2 linked regions of the Arabidopsis thaliana genome follow. The protein of the gene in region 1 interacts with the protein of each later gene in a pairwise test. Each region holds a gene or a part of one and is shown on either strand. Other genes may lie near its edges. The genes, in order: AT1G74910 and NPC5.

Evidence for each region.
Region 2: the proteins of AT1G74910 (region 1) and NPC5 interact in a two-hybrid assay, tested with the Arabidopsis thaliana proteins (one large-scale study listed by BioGRID).

The regions. Positions count from the first base shown.
Region 1 is NC_003070.9:28,134,860-28,140,983, reverse strand, and holds AT1G74910 (ADP-glucose pyrophosphorylase family protein), read left to right. Parts: upstream 1-2,012; 5' UTR 2,013-2,527; coding exon 2,528-2,588; intron 2,589-2,796; coding exon 2,797-2,894; intron 2,895-2,978; coding exon 2,979-3,079; intron 3,080-3,191; coding exon 3,192-3,270; intron 3,271-3,372; coding exon 3,373-3,433; intron 3,434-3,523; coding exon 3,524-3,570; intron 3,571-3,650; coding exon 3,651-3,743; intron 3,744-3,825; coding exon 3,826-3,916; intron 3,917-4,014; coding exon 4,015-4,063; intron 4,064-4,145; coding exon 4,146-4,259; intron 4,260-4,379; coding exon 4,380-4,527; intron 4,528-4,614; coding exon 4,615-4,707; intron 4,708-4,787; coding exon 4,788-4,856; coding exon of another isoform or gene 4,857-4,860; intron 4,861-4,975; coding exon 4,976-5,018; intron 5,019-5,113; coding exon 5,114-5,214; 3' UTR 5,215-5,602; downstream 5,603-6,124. Other genes in the region: ALDH10A8 (aldehyde dehydrogenase 10A8), read left to right, coding at 1-37, 214-290, 515-628, 911-988, 1,077-1,228, 1,352-1,412, 1,516-1,622, 1,725-1,809; OTP43 (Pentatricopeptide repeat (PPR) superfamily protein), read right to left, coding at 5,603-5,682, 5,770-6,124.
Region 2 is NC_003074.8:845,448-849,847, forward strand, and holds NPC5 (non-specific phospholipase C5), read right to left. Parts: upstream 2,851-4,400; coding exon 2,408-2,850; intron 2,284-2,407; coding exon 2,086-2,283; intron 1,989-2,085; coding exon 1,579-1,988; intron 1,503-1,578; coding exon 1,332-1,502; intron 1,247-1,331; coding exon 903-1,246; 3' UTR 774-902; downstream 1-773. UniProt on the Arabidopsis thaliana protein: Non-specific phospholipase C (PLC) which assumes minor PLC activity during inorganic phosphate starvation. Can hydrolyze both phosphatidylcholine (PC) and phosphatidylethanolamine (PE).

The sequences.
Region 1 (6,124 bases):
CCTCTCATTGTGTTTGATGACGTTGATCTTGATAAAGGTGAATGTCACAAAAAGTAGTTTAGTGGATTTGGAGTTTTTTTATAATAACTTCTTCTTGTGCTATATTCAAGATAGTACTAATGCTTTTGTTGCTTTGAGACGAGTAGACATGACTTAAATTTGCTTAATCTTAAAATTAAACTCTTTGTATGTTTTGACGCCGGCAAATGATAGCTGCTGAATGGGCTCTTTTCGGTTGCTTCTGGACAAATGGTCAAATCTGCAGTGCAACTTCCCGCCTTCTTGTTCACGTAAGTCCCAATCTTCTACTTGCTTTAAGGTTTTACCTGATCTTCCCAATATGACATGCGAATATTTATTACTGGAGAAGTGAATGTTCCAAGTCATACGGGAAGATGTTTCCATTAAGGTCAATGACAATGACATTTATTTCAGATCAAACCTTCTGGTGGATATGCCAACAGGGATACAATTGCTGACTCTCTTGTCTAAATTTTTTTATTTTATATCTTAGGAAAGCATCGCATCTGAGTTCATAGAGAAGCTTGTAAAATGGAGCAAGAACATTAAAATTTCAGACCCCATGGAAGAAGGATGCAGGCTTGGTCCTGTAGTTAGCAAAGGACAGGTAAAATCCCAGTGATCGTTTTTTCTGTCTTCATATTATTTGTCAATTTCCCATCAGGTTGCAATACAACAACCAGGACTAAAAAGGAAAAGAGAATTGAGTTCTGTAGTATAGTGATTAACTTTTGTCCCTCTAATTCTGAACCGTTTAGCTTTTAGAGCATCAATCAAATCACATCTAGCATATGATATTTCATCACGCTTATCATGTTCTTACTTGGTAGGTGTGCTTTTCTTCTATGATCATATAATCTGATTGAGCTGACAAATGTAAATATTACAGTACGAGAAGATATTGAAGTTTATCTCAACGGCCAAGAGTGAAGGAGCAACGATCTTGCATGGTGGTTCCCGACCTGAGGTATTACATCTCCCTCCCTTACCTATCCTTGATGCAGTTTCTTCCAGACTATGATGATGACCTTTTATATCATATCTATATTTCACAGCATCTGGAAAAGGGCTTCTTCATTGAACCAACCATCATAACTGATGTAACCACTTCAATGCAAATATGGAGAGAAGAAGTTTTCGGGCCTGTTCTTTGCGTGAAAACATTTGCCAGTGAGGACGAGGCAATTGAGCTAGCAAATGACTCTCAGTAAGTTAACGTTTCTCCAGAAAGTGAAATCTGATCAAATCCCATCCGCTGACACTGGTGTTTAAATCAAATTTATCATTTAAGATCTTATGTGGCTGAAAATTATTCATTGATTAATGACAGTTACGGACTAGGAGCTGCAGTGATATCTAATGACACAGAAAGATGTGACCGTATAAGCGAGGTTAGTACCGGTTTCTTGAACCATTCAGATTTGTTTTTAATGCCTAGCAAGTGAAATAACAATACCATCAAATAACACAAACAATTGGTGTCTACTTTGTTAGGCCTTTGAAGCTGGGATTGTCTGGATTAACTGCTCGCAGCCTTGCTTTACCCAAGCCCCATGGGGTGGTGTCAAACGCAGTGGGTTTGGACGAGAACTTGGAGAATGGTACATTTCTTTTTCTATCTCGAATCTTGTTTTTAAAAGACTATATCTTGATGGCTTGTACTGAACAAATCTTGGTTATGGCTGGTTTCTTGCGTGCTTCAGGGGACTTGATAACTACTTGAGTGTGAAGCAAGTGACTCTCTACACTTCAAACGATCCCTGGGGATGGTACAAATCTCCCAACTAAGTAATGAATACATTGTCATGGAAATGGAAACCAAACCAAATGCTGTCTGTTCAAATCTTTGTGCTTTTATTATCAGTCTGTCTAGTTCGGTCCTGAAACTCTTTTGTAAAACCTGTTGAATTTATAATGAATAAAAGATGCTTTGCTGATAATTATTGGTTGTTCTATAAAGGCCAGTATTGAGGCACCATTTTAGGCTCTGGTGCAGCAGTATCAAGAACATGAACCATTTTATGTCACCTTCAAGTCACATCAAAGTTAAAACTCACATGGCAATCAATTCCAAATCATAACTTTTTTTTTTACTATAATTGCTTGAAATAAACATTTTATGAGATCTGAAGATTTGTGGATTTTTTTTCCATTTTTTAAATAGTAAAATGTTTGGCAACCAAATCTGAAAAAGAGGTAAAGACGAGAGGTCTCGCGCTTATCCTTAAAGGACTGTGGTGAATGGTGAGTGTGACTTGGAGGGACCCCATCACCGCAACAATACAGCTTCTTAGATCTCGATAACCACAACTAACCTGTCACAGTTTCGATTAGATCTTCTCAAAAACTTCACCTTTTTTTGTTTTTCCAGTTTCTCAGAGGAGATCTTCCTTCAAAGCTCAAATCCTTTTGTCTGAATTGTGATACTGCTGTCCCCATTTTTCTGCAAGTTGGGAAATTTCTGTCAAAGTTTTGTGGGTCTGTTAAAAAGATCTGAGCTTTGAACATGGGGAGCTCAATGGAGGAGAAAGTGGTGGCTGTGATCATGGTCGGTGGTCCAACCAAAGGTAACCGCTAAATATGTTTGCTTTTTTTCTTTCTTTCTTTCTGATTCCTCCTCAAAAGCAAATGACTGTGAAATCTCGATTGATCAAATCTAATTCCGTTAGATTTTGATATCCAATGCGTTTCTCTCTTGTTTGGTTATTAGTTTCGTGTATCCGAATGATTATGGTTCTGATTCTGTGTAAATATTGGTTATTGAGTGATGCACAGGCACTCGATTTCGGCCATTGTCGCTGAATATTCCAAAGCCTCTGTTTCCTATTGCGGGACAACCAATGGTGCATCATCCAATTTCAGCTTGTAAAAGAGTAATATTCTTCACTCATGATTTCAACAATTCAGATCACTGGAGAGACTGAGAGATGATGATACCAATCCCTTATTGTCTGCAGATTCCAAATTTAGCTCAAATATATCTTGTTGGCTTCTATGAGGAAAGGGAATTTGCACTTTATGTTTCAGCCATCTCTAATGAACTTAAAGTTCCTGTTAGGTTAGTGAATCTCTCCTCTTTTTGCGTTAGCTTCAGCTCAAGTATCAGTGGCTCATTCGTGTAGCTCTGATCTTTCTTCTCTGTTTTTTTTTTTTGGGATTCTGCAAATTAGATATCTGCGAGAAGACAAACCACATGGTTCAGCTGGTGGGCTGTATCACTTTAGAAATCTTATTATGGAAGATAGTCCGGTTAGTCTCCAAGGATCTTACTATATAGAATCATTCTTCTTTTGTGTTTTATGGACTAAATGCTTCTTCTCACATCTGAGTTCCTATATCTACTTCTTGCAGTCTCATATCTTCCTGCTTAACTGTGATGTTTGCTGCAGTTTCCCCTTGCCCAAAATGCTCGGTATATTCTTTTTCATTAATCCAAACCTTGTGAGGTCTCATCTTATGGTTTTGAAGGTCGTTCTTAACTATTGCTACTTTTGATCAACAGAGGCTCACAGGGGATATGGTGGAATTGGAACTCTTCTTGTGATCAAGGTTTGTGATTGTATATGATTAGTCTGGTTTTTGTTTTTTTGGCGGGTCAATCAAATTTGCTTCTGCGTTTTGGTTTTTAGGTCTCTCCTGAATCAGCCAGCCAATTTGGAGAATTGGTTGCAGATCCAGTTACTAATGAGCTGCTTCATTACACCGAGAAACCCGAAACTTTTGTATGTACATTTATTACTGAGATGACCCAATCTTTATAGCATCTTCAAGCTTTGATTCTTATGTTTTATTTTGGAAACACAGGTCAGTGATCGAATTAACTGTGGTGTTTATGTATTTACACCTGAAATTTTTAATGCCATAGGAGATGTTTCTACTCAGAGGAAAGATAGAGGTAAAGCAGTAACAAAGATCTTACACATAATTTGTGTTTTCTTGTCTTAGCTTTCTATCTTTAAAGACTTCTCATCTTTTTCCTCTGTTTTGTTGTAGCAACTCTAAAACGTGTTTCCAGCTTCGAAGCTCTTCAACCGGCAACAAGGTTTGTCGATTGTCTCCTTGTCCATAATTGAAAACCATTCGAATCATCTTCTTAAAATGATCTTTTAACTTCTTTAAAATAGGATCCCGACAGATTTTGTAAGACTGGATCAAGACATCCTTTCACCTCTAGCTGGGAAGAAACGGCTATATACTTATGAGACTATGGATTTCTGGGAGCAAATCAAATCTCCTGGGTATGTATTGCTTGCCTTGTGTTTTCATTTCTTTGAAGCCGCAAGGATACAAAATGTTTAGCAGCAGCTGAAACAGGGATAGTGTTTATGGCTCTGACTTATGAGTTGACTTTTGCACAGGATGTCGTTGAGGTGTTCAGGACTCTATCTTTCCCAATTCCGCTTGACATCTCCCCAACTGTTGGCTAGTGGTGATGGAACAAGGAGTGCCATTGTGATTGGTGATGTTTACATACATCCTTCTGCAAAAGTTCACCCAACTGCAAAGGTACTTACATATGGTTTTGTCCCTCGTTGAAGCAATTTCTTCTGATTCCACTTTTATCACAAAGCATTAAGTTTCATCTATTAACAGATTGGTCCCAACGTCTCAATCTCTGCAAATGCTCGTGTTGGACCGGGCGTCAGGCTTATGAGCTGCATCATCCTTGACGATGTTGAGATCATGGTATGTCTACTTATACAAGACACAAAGTGAAAAACGGTTAAATTTTCTCGAGGTTGACCCTTCAGTGACTCTTTGCCCAGGAAAATGCAGTGGTGACTAACGCAATTGTTGGGTGGAAATCTTCTATCGGGAGATGGTCCCGCGTCCAGGCATGTTTCCCTCTTCTGCTCATCTCTTAAGAGCCTGACTCATTCTTTTTGGACCTTGAAATGTTTTTGTTTGATTCCTTTACAATCGTGAACCTGAAGTTGTACTTTGTTGATCACAGGCTGAGGGAGTCTACAATTCGAAACTCGGAGTTACAATTCTCGGTAAACTGTTCCTCCATTGTAGCTCCTTCTCTTTATATACAGAAAGCAAAATCTCTTTATAGACAGATAACTAACCTCAAACATAATGGTTACAGGAGACTCGGTTGCAGTTGAAGACGAGGTTGTGGTGACCAGCAGTATTGTTCTTCCAAACAAGACACTGAACGTCAGTGTTCAAGACGAGATCATTTTGTAACTGAAAAACGGAAGTTGAAAAATGGAACCAACCCAGTGGGGAGCAGCCACACTATCTCCCTCTGATTCAATATCTACTGGAGAACCACATAAGCAAATATTTGGGAACTAATTCACATGTATCATTTATTTACACCAAGAATTTTCCAACATTGTATCAATTCCATTTTCTATACTCACAACACAGCTACTGTAAAAGGCACTGAATTTTTGCCCAGAATAATAAAGCACTTGTGTAGTTTTGGCATTGATAATAAACTGTTCTTGCAAAATCCTATGAAGCCTTTCCTGGTCCAGTCTCTATTAACTGCAATGCAATGCTTTGGGGAAGTATTGATTGTTGTAAACATAGCAAGAGTCTATCCCCAATCACATGCAGACTAGTAACTTCATAGCCTGAACTTCCGGAGAAGCCGGCTACCAGATTTACTCTGCAATCTCAAGATCTCCTTTGCAAAAGCTTGATTCCCTGTCAAAAGAAGCCCGTTCAGAACTCGATTAAAAGTAAATTTCCGGGGTATAAACCCTCTCTCAACCATCTCAAGCAATAGTTTACCAGCGACCACCATATCTTCTGATCTTTTTCTCACAAACATTCCACTTATCAGTATGTTGTAAGTATCTAGATTTGGCAAGCAATCACCACTCCCCATTTTCTCAAACAAACCCAACGCTTTCTCGACCTCGCTGCATTCCGAATAATAACGGATCATCATGTTATATGTCTGGAAGTTTGGTTCACAGCCTTCATTCTCCATTCTCTGCATCAACTCCTCTCCACGACTAAACTCTCCAGCGTGAAACAACCCTCTTATCAACACATTATAAGTCGTCACATTCGGCTCATAACCTCTCCTCACCATTTCCTCAAACATCACAACCGCATTCTCCACATTATCTTTCTTACACAA
Region 2 (4,400 bases), on another chromosome or scaffold:
GTTGTACAAACGTTATTTTTTCTTTGAATATAATTTAACATTGTTTTCAAAAAAAAAAAAAAAAATTGACGTTGAGACTTTACTTGTAACCTTCAGACAGACAAGAAACATGAGAAGAAAATTGTCAAGAAAAACAAGAACACACGTTACGGCAAAGAATATAAACGAGAATATGCGTATGATTCTATATCAACCAAAGAATATGCGAATACACATGGGAAATTAAATAAAGACAACAATTATCGTTTTGATTTAATTTTTTCTATTAACAGTACATATTCCTTCCAAGTGATACTGATACCTTTTCATAAAATAAAATAATACTCGTGGTCGTGTGAAAAAAAGAAACAAGAATTCGTATGATCTTCGATTCAAGGTGGGATATTAATTAATTTTTAGTGTACAATTTGTATTATGCTTGTAATTGTGACAGTCCACCAACCTATTTTTATTGTACCACGATAAATCTTTTTAGATTTCCTAAAACGTACTTGGTCTAAAATAGCGGTGTCCATTTATTACCGATCATTTTGTAGTGACGAAAGAGTAACTTGTACTCGAACAATTTTGTGACGTGCCATACAAGAATAGGAATACAAAGTCGCGCCTAAGTTTTTTTTTTGTTTTTCGAGTCTAGATCGTTTATGTTGGCATGTCCAGTCACAATTTTTATACGACTTATGTCAGCAGTTTTGTTTCTTTTGTTCTTTTTACGCCAGCATTTAGGTTCAATTACTAGAAAACAAATTGAATTCAATAGGGGCCATTTGATAGATCCACACTACTATTGACTCTTCACACAAAAACTACATAAAAAAAAACTAAATGAAAATTTCTTATACAGTCCAGTAATCATGACAAACGAAGCAAATGTTTAACTTATTGAAAAAGACGATCAGATTTTAATTTGACCAAGGAGTAGCATGTGATGGCTCTGATTGTGATGGTGGTGGTTTCACAACATTATGATCATCATCATCATCAACGCAAAAAACGATGTCGTTCTCATCACCTCCCCTTTCTCTTGCCTTTTTAGACTCTTCTACAAACTTATCAAACGCTTTCGTAACGTATTTAGAAGCATCTGAAACGCAAGTTTTTTTGCATAGTTTGTATAGCAATTCTTCGTTTTTGTAGTCTCCTTTTAAACCCGCAGCAACTATTACAAGCTCTTCTTGAAAGTCGCTCAATTCTGCATTTTCTTTTGCCACCGTCCCTCTCATTTTGACCGGATTTGACAATGTTTCTTTTTTTTTTTAAAAAACGAAGTATTTATTCAAAATAATCACAAATTTTGATAGAATTTATTAGAAATGAAAAAATGTAATTACCAGGGCAATCTTGTCTTGGTGAGTTTCTCGTAATAACAGATTCAAAAGTGCCAGCCCACGAATCTCTCTTTGTCAAAAAATCTTTGAGTTTGAAAATTTTCTTGACCGTTGCGGGAATTGACGAATGCTCATATTGTGACATTAGGTACGGCCCATTTGACCCATGAAGAACTACACATTTTACCAAAAATTGTCATTTAATTAACACATTATAGTATAATTAAATTATTGTCTACCACATACTTACCTGTGCCAGGCTCAATCCAAGGGGAGATGAAGAAAGTCGGAACCCTAACGCCGAGCCGGTTAAATTCAAAATTGTACGGTGGAGGTCCCAAGATACCATCCGGATTAGGAACTCCGTCGAGGGGAGTAGGGACATGGTCGTAGAATCCACCGTGTTCGTCATATGTTATAATGAATAAAATCTCATTCCATTGAGGACTCGATCTCAAGGCCTCGTAAACTTCTTTCACGAGCTTTTGGCCTTCGGAGACGTCATGTGATGGATGATCATCGTTAGCGGGATTCAACAATAGATCATACCAACGTTGTTCAACCACAACATAGTTCGGTAGATTCCCTTCTTTACAATCTTTCTTGAATTGTAGTCCGTAGTCGTGGAAACGTGTCAAATACTTGAGTTTTCTCAAATTCCTGAAAAACCAAACACAAAAGAATACTAATAAAGATTAATATCGCAAAGCAGTATATAATACTAAAATCTTTTGCAACTCGTAAAAGATTAAGATACCTATAAAAGAGAGTAGTAGGAAAACATTGGTAATAAATCCCAAAGGTAAAACCAGCTTCATCGAGTGACTCGAATATCGTCTTTTGTGGAAAACCTTCGATCAGTAATTTCCTCTCGTTGTTCGTTGTTCCGTGTGATGTTGCCGAATGTATAAACAATCGGTTTGGCTGTGTTGCACCCGGAACCGACGCAAACCACCTGTCCAATACATGAAATTTGCTATAAACCGGGATTTTGCTAGACAACCAATTTCCAATTCGGTTTTAGTTGGATGAACCGAACCGTTATACAGATGTAATTTATACAGGTCAAACGGTCTCACCTATCACATATAGCGAAATTTTGAACCAATTCCTTGTAAACCGGCAAAGCGTCCGGTTTAAATCCGTTCATAACCGCAGAAGACATCCCTTTCATCTTTCGCTCGGCGTTTTGGGCAAATCCGGACATTGTAGCTGGACCCGGGTTTGGGTCCGGGTGACCCGAATCCCATGGTTTACCGAACACTTGTTCGTAAATATCCCGAATGGAGTGACCTGGATTCGGGTCAACGTACTGAGACTGGTCGCCAAAGACGACGTTGTGGGAATTTAGGTCAGAGGAAAAACCCGGGTTGAATTTCTGGTCCGATTTCATGACTCCGTCAATTTCCCGGTTTAGCTCTTTGAACCAGCCAAGTGTGTGGTCGAAAGAACGATTCTCTTGAACCAAAACGACGATGGTTTTGATCGGATACGATTCTGAGCCTTTTTTCGTCTCGGCCATTCTATTTGTTTTCCAATTGAATTATTGATGAAAGTTTGAGAAGATCGTGGGTTTATAGTGCTTGACAAATTGAAGAGATAGATATTTACAAGTAAAAAGCAAATAAGAAATACGCATCATGCATGCTTATTGTCCTTTGAATTGGTATCACGTCAAGTAAAGTGCCCCATTTAAAGTTAGAAGTAAATCAAAATTATAAGCATCATATGCTTATTAGTTATGGATATTTTTCGTTCTCTCACATTTTGAGTCTATACAAATCTGGACAATTGAAGAATACCTCATCAAATCCCTATAAAATACTTAACATTTTACCCCAAAAATTACTATAAATACATTTTACTGAAAACTATTTCACACATTTTGGACTATGGTACCAATTTTGCTGTGCTTTTCTAAGTAGAAGCAGAAGTAATATTACCTTTATAGTCTAATGGAAATTCACCATATTTCTGCATTGTCTGTATAAGAGAATAAATTGCATAGATGTATTTTTCAGGACACAGTTTAATGAAGCAGCAAAATATGAATTTATGATTTTGGATGACAATGAAAATACCTTTTCGATTCTCAGAGCATAATTGAGGACATCTAATAGCAACGTATATTACCCATCCCATCCCACTCCCACAAACATAGACTAGAAGAACATGGGCCAAAACATTTATGAAGGAAAAGACCTTGGTTAACAACAAGAGATCAATCGGTTGATTATCTATATCCAAAATGCAATAAAAATCAGACAGAACATCCCTCAACTAAAATCTTCTTCATCTTCTTCACAAGACTCTATGATACCTCTCATATACCATTGGACTATAATCTGCAGTAAATGAGGTTGCATATCCCTAACAGCCTTTTCTATGGTCTTTTCTGCGACTTCGACAATGGCTAATTTATCTTTGTGTCGGCAGTAGAAACTCAAAATTCTTCAAACTAGGATCTTCAAGTTCCACGTCAAAAAGGTTCCTAGGAGGTAGGTGGATGTGATAATTTATATACATTACACAACCACTTAGAAGAGCATTCATAACAAATATCTACATAATCAACGTAACGATGTCTCTAATGTTTTCCAACACAACACCATGTTTAAAATTAAGATGCACATAAGATGTACATAATTCTCCTATTCAGCTTTGCTCTCTAACATTTATTAGTCATCTATTCATCGAGCAGAAGAAAGCACAAAAAATGATGTAATTATTTACGAATTATAAATTAGGAAGAAGGAAAAAAGATCTTTCAAGTTAATTTTTGTAAAATTGAAAATTCATTATATTCTCTCAAAATTGAACATTGTTTTTGAGGAAATCTTCTAAGGATTGTGAATTATTCAAAAGGCTTACCGACACAATATTCACATGTAGAAAGAATTCAGTGCTCTAGCCTTGGATATTAGCAAAAAAATGTATATTAAAACTAAACAAACCACACAAAGTTTAAAATATGCATATATGTTTTACGTTAATAATCTTTATCAATGCATATGAAAATTCGGAATATAAACAATAGCCGTCTTTTATTGATCAAGTAAACATCAGCGATCT